Ovis aries: one gene and its partner. The protein of the gene in region 1 interacts with the protein of each later gene in a pairwise test. Links are inferred from orthologs where the notes say so. Each region holds a gene or a part of one and is shown on either strand. Other genes may lie near its edges. The genes, in order: FCHSD2 and ABCF3.

What was found.
Region 2: the proteins of FCHSD2 (region 1) and ABCF3 interact in binary tests that used the Homo sapiens proteins (3 or more experiments, as listed by UniProt). The two-hybrid records come from large-scale screens. The link is inferred for Ovis aries from reciprocal best matches to the Homo sapiens genes FCHSD2 and ABCF3.

What each region holds. Positions count from the first base shown.
Region 1 is NC_056068.1:51,102,246-51,106,055, reverse strand, and holds part of FCHSD2 (F-BAR and double SH3 domains protein 2), read left to right. Parts: coding exon 1-111; intron 112-1,850; coding exon 1,851-1,980; intron 1,981-2,122; coding exon 2,123-2,205; intron 2,206-2,316; coding exon of another isoform or gene 2,317-2,340; exon of another isoform or gene 2,341-2,533; coding exon of another isoform or gene 2,534-2,602; exon of another isoform or gene 2,603-3,810. UniProt on the Homo sapiens protein: Adapter protein that plays a role in endocytosis via clathrin-coated pits. Contributes to the internalization of cell surface receptors, such as integrin ITGB1 and transferrin receptor.
Region 2 is NC_056054.1:203,763,977-203,768,336, forward strand, and holds the start of ABCF3 (ATP-binding cassette sub-family F member 3), read right to left. Parts: upstream 2,954-4,360; 5' UTR 2,884-2,953; exon of another isoform or gene 899-2,883; 5' UTR 856-898; coding exon of another isoform or gene 782-855; 5' UTR 1-781. Other genes in the region: AP2M1 (AP-2 complex subunit mu), read right to left, coding at 782-855.

The DNA of each region.
Region 1 (3,810 bases):
GGCTTCTGGGAAGGAGAATTCAATGGGCGGATTGGAGTTTTCCCATCGGTGCTAGTGGAAGAACTTTCAGCCTCAGAAAATGGTGACACTCCATGGATGCAAGAGATTCAGGTGCACAACAGGGGAAGAAAGCTGAATTAAAAGATAGTTCAAGAAAATAACTCCCAAAGAGTCTGTTGACCCACACAGAAGTGGGCTGTGGTCTCAACCTCACCCTTACCACTCCAGTTTTTGGTTGCCAAGTTACCACAAGACTGAATTTGGGAAGCAGAGACTTGTCAGCCAGGCTCTGTGTAATGGCTATATTACACTTCATGTCTCCCACATTCTGTTCTCTGAATTGAGGAACCAAAATACTACACTGTGTGTGACCTACAAAAGACTGGTTTGGCGAGGAGAAAGAAAGAAACCGGAGAGGGAATGTGTTGTCTCTGTGGTTAGTTTATACAGTAAAAATATTAGCAGCCTCTTTCTCTCCCTCACTGTCAGAACCTCCCTGCCCAGCCCAGGCACTGCTAATCCTTTTCAGAGAACTAATGAGACTCCCAAAGCCCCATGTACTCATGTGGCCTGAGGCTTACTTCATCATAGCATAACTTGTCTTTACGGGAAACTCCTAATTCAGATATGTCACAACAGGCCTGGCAGGTCCAGGACCGTAAGGAATATGTCTGCCCATCTTGCTTGTACAGTATTATGACCACTGAACATGACAATTACAAAGCCTGGGGAAGTCAGAAACTCAGCCAATTTTTTTTTTTTTCACCAAAAAATAGAACTTGTTTTTTCTTTTGTTCTTCACTGAATTGACTACTTTGATATGTTTTCAGTAGAACTCTAGAGAATGGTTTGACTTGGTAAATGTTGAATTTAAACTAAAATCTATGAGATCTATAATGAGATCTATGGAAGGAAAAAGTTAAATGCAACACAAAACTGGTGGTAGTGTGGTTATTCTAGGCTCATTTGCTTTTTTATTTTACTCTTTTTTAATTATGAAAGGATGATAACACATTCACAGGAGACTTGGAAAATACAGAGCAAGGTTGTATATAGTTCCACCATGTTTTACAATTATTTTTTAAGTAGATAAATTAAGATTTTTAGATGGAGTTTCAATATCAAACTCTCAAACATTAGTAGAATGAATATACAGAGAAGTAGGATATAGTAGGCCTGAAAAGCACTGTGAACCAACTCAATGTAATTAAGATTTATATAATTTTCACACAATAGTAGGATACAAATTCTCTTCAAGTTCCTATAGACTGTAAATTAGGAGACACTGGAACATATCCAGGGACATAAAACAAGGTGCAAAAATGTCATGGTCTAAAGGTATTGAAATCAAACAGAGTCTGTTCTCTTAGCACTGTGGAATTATGTTAGAAATCAATATCAAAAGATACTTTAAAATAACCCACATATTTTCAAGTGCGGCTTTCCAGGTGGTGCTAGTGGTAAGAACCTGCCTGCCAGCGCAGGAGACGTAAGAGTCGTGGGTTCGATCTCTGGGTCGAGAAGATCCCCTGGAGGAGGGCATGGCAATCCATTCCAGTATTCTTGCCTGGAGAATTCCCACAGACAGAGGAGCATGGCGAGCTACAATCCATGGGGTCACAAAGAGCCAGACACAACTGAAGGGACTGAGCATGCATGCATTTACCAAGAGAGATCATCTTCAACTTAGCCATCAAACTAGGCTTATTTGCTTCTAATTAGGGTGGTCAAAAAAGTTAATAGTCATAATGTAGCTCCGGAGAAGGGTTATTTGCCAGGAGCAGTCAGAGAAGCCAGCTGACCTCCCTCCTGAAGTGAGCACTGTGTAACCTCTGTTCCCTTTGCTGCAGGTCTCTCCTTCCCCCAAACCGCCCAGCTCCCTGCCTCCACTGCCGCTGTATGACCAGCCTCCCAGCAGCCCTTACCCCAGCCCAGATAAGAGGGGCTCCCAGTACTTCTCCCGCTCTCCTTCAGCAAACGGTAAGGGGTCTCGTGGGCATTTGTCAAAATACACTTTCATTTGGAAAGCCACGTGTTCATCTGAAGGGTAAACAGATCTGAACTACCATCTGTATTGCTCAGCAACACAAATAAATTGAGCTGCTTTGATTCCCTCCCTTAGAAAACAGCTTCCATGCCGAATCGCCAGGATTCTCGCAGGCATCCAGGCATACTCCTGAGACCTCATATGGGAAACTGCGACCTGTAAGTCTCTTATCTAGCTGAGTAATAGAGTGCATAGTTCTTCCAGATTGAAAGTTAGAAATTAATGGAGCTCCATGACCCCTGTGTTGTTACTAATTTCTTCCATGCCAGGTTGCGATGGACTTGGGAAGTTAAACAGAGCTCTGGAAAAGGAAGGCTATAAAAATAAACACATCTTGGAAGGTCTAGCTTATTACGCTGGCACTTTCCTCACTAAGCCATGGTGAGATTGCCAGGTGATAACTATGGAAAGTGTATTTAAAGTATAACAAGTTCTGTGAGCATTAAAGCAGTCTAATTGTGAAACAGAATTTTTTTTTTTTTCCAGCAGGCGTTTATTGAGAACTTTTTTCCCAGGCCTCTACTTTCCTCTTCGACAGACAGTGAGATGATATAAGATACATGCCCTTTTGAGGTTTGAGAGCTTCTATTCTCAAAGAAATTATTTGTTCTTTACAAATAATCACCTCTACCCACCCCTCACTCGGCTGTCATCAAATCCATCCGACTACCTCACTGTGAAATAGTTCTTCCAGGGTCATAACTTCCGCATGGTAATCTAGTTACATTTGCGGTTTTATTTTCCTAGACCCTCTTATCAGCATTTGACACAATTCTTTGAGCCACTTACAACCTTTGTCTTTGTTCATTCAGCAGATACTGAGTGCCTTGTTAAGGACTTGGTTCGTGATCCTAAATGTGATAGGAAGATGTTGTAAGATTGTAAACCAGATAGTGATATGACTGATTGTGCATTTTTAAAAATTATTTTTACTTAATAATTTTTATAATTTTATGTTGGCTGCACTTGGTCTTACTTGTAGCACGTGGGCTCTTTGTCACTGAGCATGGACTTCTCTTTAGTTGCAGTGAGTGGGCTTAGTTGCCTTGAAGCATGTGGGATCTTAGTTCCCCAACCAGGGATCAAGCCTATATCCCTTGAATTGGGAGACCACCAGGGACATCCCAGCTGTGCATTTTAAAAACACTACTGTGGCAGCTAGGTGGAAAATGAGTAGAAAGTGTCAGAATGAACAGGGGGAGTTGTTAGGAGGCTGGAGCAATGGTCCAAGCAAGAGAGGACAGTAATGTGAACTAGTGGGGAAGAGCAGTAGTGGAGAGAAGTGGACCCATTTGTTCCACCACACTTTTCCTGGTCTGCCTTCTACTTCCTGGCCTTCCTTTTCATTGGCCTCTGAGGGCTTCTCTGCCTTTACCCAGCTCTGTTGATGCCTCTCAGGGTTCCATCCACTAACCCCTTCCCTCTTTTTTTTTAATTTGTCTGGCTGCGTCAGGCTTTAGTTGCAGCAGGTGGAGTCTTTGTTGCATCGTGTGGGATCTTTTCGATGCGCTGCACGGAGTCTGTAGTGTGGGCTCCAGCGCACACAGGCTTCAGTAGCTGCTGTGTGCAGCCTCGGTATTTGGGCACTCAGGTCAGCCTCTCCGTTGTTCCATGGCATGTGAGATCTTAGTTCCCTGACTAAGGGTTGAACCCACGTCCCCTGCATTGCAAGGCAAATTCTTCACCATTGCGCAACCAGAGGAGTCCCAGGGCTACTGCTCTTAAAGTCGTTAAACTTACTCCTGAGTTATCTCATTTACTCC
Region 2 (4,360 bases), on another chromosome or scaffold:
GAAAAACAGGGCAGCATGAACCAGACGAACCTAATCTCATCAGAGCTCCTGAGGCTAGGACAAGTCCCCTCTGTCAGGGAAGGTCAGTGGCATGCAGGGTGGGGCAGAATAACTGAGGCTGTGTCTCCTGGTAGAGGTCTGAGGACACAGACAAGGAGCTGTTCCTGGTCTACTCTGATAGACCAGAAAAGCAGCACAGCCTCCCTGCCCATCTCTGGGTGACCCAGAGAATGCCTCAGGCTTGCTCACCACCTCTCTTCCTGGAGTGGCCAAGAGGAACTGAAAACAGCTGAGTCAGCAGCCTGACTCCTGAGAAAGGGAGTGGGAGAGGATTCGGCAGCCTGAAGAATCCAGTGAAGGCTCTCACCACAAGAAGGGCTTTTGAGAGCAAGACTTAGATTAGTACTGCCAGCATGACCACTAATTCCACCTGCTAGAGACAGATCTCCCTTCTCAGAGGAGGGATCAACCCTTCAAGCAAAAGCACTCATCTCCAGCAACTAGGTCTGTCACTACAGGGAACAGGAAGCAGCAAGGCTAGGAGTTCCTAGGACTGTGGGGGTCCTGCCATTTCACAGGTCCCACTGAGTGGCCAGCAACTGGCTGCTTGGCCAATACCACCAGACCTAATGGGAACCAGGCTGTAATAGCTGAGCATCCAGGATGCAGCAAGGGGTGGGGAACAGTCCAGATCAAGCCTCTGGGAGAAAGAGACCTGGCCCTGCATGCTGGAGAGGAGGGATGGGAGTGGGGGCACAGCTGGCTCAGCCAGGGCACTCACCCGATGTCATCTCGGTAGACCCGGGAGATGAGCACCTCCCCCTTGTGATTATAGATGAATAAGCCTCCAATCATGGCGGCAGCTCAGTCTTCGCAGCCCATCGCTCTGAGAAGAGACCTAGGATAGATGGGGGCAGTGTAAGGGAAGGCGGCAGAATCTGAGCCCTGTCCCCTAAGGGGCTGTCCAGGTCACTGGCTGGGCCTTTTTCCTGATTCAACCCTCCAGCAAGTGACCCTACAGTCCTTTCAGCCAAGCCCCTCCCTTTCACCAGGCCCCAGTTCCTGTTTATCCCATACTGGGAGAAAAGGAGAGGGACTTAGGCCCAGGATTCTAAGGCCGTTCTGACCCTCCCTTTCCTGGGACTGAGCCCAGAGTAGCCCCCTCCCCCTTTCACAGCGCTGAGCTCAGCAAGGCCCCTTCCTGTGCAGACTCTCAATCAGGCTCTAGCTGGTGAGTCACTGCAAAGGCCTGCCTGCGGCTGCAGGAATGGCGGTAGGAATTACTCCAGCTGGTTCAGGCCTGGAGCCCCCAGGCAAAACTTTAGGAGCGCTACTCTCAGCCTCCACTACCCTTCAGAAAAGGCAGCATGGCCTGAACCTTTGACTCTCTAATTCACAAAAGTCTAAACATCACAAAAGTCTAAACATTCTAGGAAAGGGGGTGCAGGGATTAGGGAGGAGAGAAGAGAGCCCTAAGGCCCTGACACCAACCCAGGAGTGCTGCTCCAACCTCTCCCAGGCAGTCAAATAAACAAGCAAGAGCAGAGAAGAAAGGCCCCAGCCCTGACAGACTACACTTCAGTGACCCAAGCAGCTTATTAGTTATTTCTGACCACCTCTCTTTGAAATAGAGAAGCTCCCCCTCAGCTCCCAAGTAAATAAGAATACAGGGGTGTTGTGAGGAAGGGGAGAGCAGGTTCATAAGATCAAGAGATCCGTCCAGTAGAAATTCTGATTCCAGACCTGCAACATAATTCATTTCTGACCTGAATGCCTAAAAACAAGGGGCAGAATCCCGGAACTATCTAAATTATTTGGGTCCAACTAATTCAGATTGTTTGCAAGGAGAAAAAGGGTTTAGTTCTATATTTCCTGGATTAGCCTTGGTGTTAATTTCACAAGAGGGGCAGTTTAGGAGACTTTCAGTTTCTAAACTGGAAAATAAAGTGTATTATTATAGCAGTAAAGGTGTCCCAGGATAAGAGAATAATTCTCTCAAAGTGGTGGACACTTCCCATTCCTCAGTCCCAGAGACCAGGAGAGAAAGCGCAAAATGGAGGTAGGGCCCTGGGCAAAGAAGCAAGTTCACAGGGATCAGGTGGTAGGGAACTCAGGGCATCAGAGAAGCAGAGATGGTGCCCAGATCAGGAAAGGAATATTTAGTTAAGGGATAGACTGGCAGCAACAGCCAGGCAGTGTACTCAAGTGAGCCCACAGCAGCAACAGAGCTGGTGGGGGCACCTGGAGAAAAGAGTTTCCAGTATGGCAAAGGTCAAGGTTTTGAAGAGGAAAACACGGCAGGGTGAGACTAACAGTGGTGAATAAGGGAAAGCTGGGGAGACGTAGCTTGCTGTGGTATGCAGGTGTACAAGCATGCGCGGGTGGTGGGCTTTTCGCCCCGGGGAGGACATCACGGGTAAAGATGGTTCCACGGCGTGCGGGGGCTGTCACTCAACTGCAAGGAGAGGGTGCCGCAGAGTGGGGACCTTGTCACAGTCCAAGGAGGCGGCACAAGGAGGTGTCACTGTCCTAGGGGATGGGGGAATTGTCCTTGCCCCGGGAGGAGGAGGCGCCGAGGGCTAGGAGGTTGTCACGATCTCAGGGAGGGGGCCGCCGCGCGGCGTCCCTGTCTGGAAGGATTCCAAGAGGGTCTCCCTCTCAAGCGAAGCTCCGGGCGGGTCAGGTGGAGGGCATCGCTCCGCGCCCGTCCTGCAACCGCGCCCCGGGCGCCCCCGCCCCGCCGTCAGCTCCCTTTCTGATCTGAAGGCTGAGGCCACTCCCGGGTGTGGGCTGCTTTCCGCGTAGCGCAGTGCAGTGAACGGCAAAGCTAGGAAGCCAGGGAGGCGTCCTCCCTCACCCCGTATGGCGAGATCCCGAGCTCACCTGGTGTCCGCGGCCCTCTGCTCGGCCGGCCCGGCCACTCTCCGGATCCCAAGATGTCCGCCCGCCCCCTGCTCGCCTGCCCGCTGCCTCGGCTTTCACTGCAGTGTTGCGGCCCCGCCCCGGCCTCAACTGCGCGTGCGCACCCGCCGACGGCGCAGACTACAAATCCCAACAGGCCTCTCGGCCTTATCTCTTACAATTTTAAGCGCCCCTAGATTTCGTAGAACTACAACTACCGACAGCCTTCGAGACTCGAAGGAGGGGCTAGGCGTGCCTTGAGGGTGAAGTAGGAGGGCTTTATTCGGCCCCACCCGCAATACACAATCCAGAATACGCTGCTATGCTCACTTCCTTTTCCTCATTGAGCATTCTGGGAATTGTAGTTTCTGCAATCCTTCTTGTTCCTCTTTCAGAGTTTGTGAGAGCCTCAGCCTGGGGTCGCTAAGAGTTGGACACGACTGAGCGACTTCACTTTCATGTATTGGAGAAGGAAATGGCAACCCACTCCAGTGTTCTTGCCTGGAGAATCTCAGGGACCGCGGAGCCTGGTGGGCTGCATAGTCCAGTCTATGGGGTCGCATAGAGTCGGACACGACTGAAGCGACTTAGCAGCAGCAGCAGCAGAGGATTACTGCCATTTGTTGAAGCCCATCTGTTAAGCCTTGAATTGCTGTAGGCCTTTCAGTCTCCAGAGTCCGAGGACTGATTGTCATTTTATACAGACACACACACACACGCACAGGACTTGGCAGTAGAAGTGTTTGTGCTGAGTTAACTGCTTTATAACATGACCTCTGATTTCCCCAAGCTTTTTTGCATCGTATATTTGTTCTAGACATGAGCCTTTTCCCAGGAATCAAGACTTAAGGTACGGGGCAGGGAGTAAGGAATCAAATATTTAGAAGAAAAGCTAAAATTTTTCAAAATATGTTTGTGTTCTACCTCAACTATATACCTATGGGCCTGTGAGGTCCTCAAGGTCAGGACCTGTGTGTCTTCTACTGACAGGCATACATGTGGCTTAGAAAACCATTGGCAAGTTGAGTTTAACTGGACATGGGATTTGAAATCCCTTCTTTGATAAATGATCTTCACATTCAAGCTAAGAGGAGACAGAGCCAATCCTAGCACATGAAAGGTCTGCCTGGCTCTTGCAGGACCTGAAGAACATCTGTTGGCTCTTCTCTTTCTGTAGGGAGATATACCATGTTGCCTTCCCTAGGCAGGGCCGAGCCCATCATGAGAGGAAGCAAGGGCAAGAAAGGGCAAACCTAGTTGCAAATCCTACTATTCCTAGAATTCTCCTGATAGAAACCAGAATATGGCAGGATGAAAATCTGACCTCCTACAGATCAGGGTCACAGTCTTAAGCCATGAAGCGACTGAATACAGGCTCGTCTAATTCTTGAACCAGCACTCAAGGCTTACTCCTACCTTTCTAGGAGCTTTGTCCTCAACACCTACCCTAAAGAAAGTG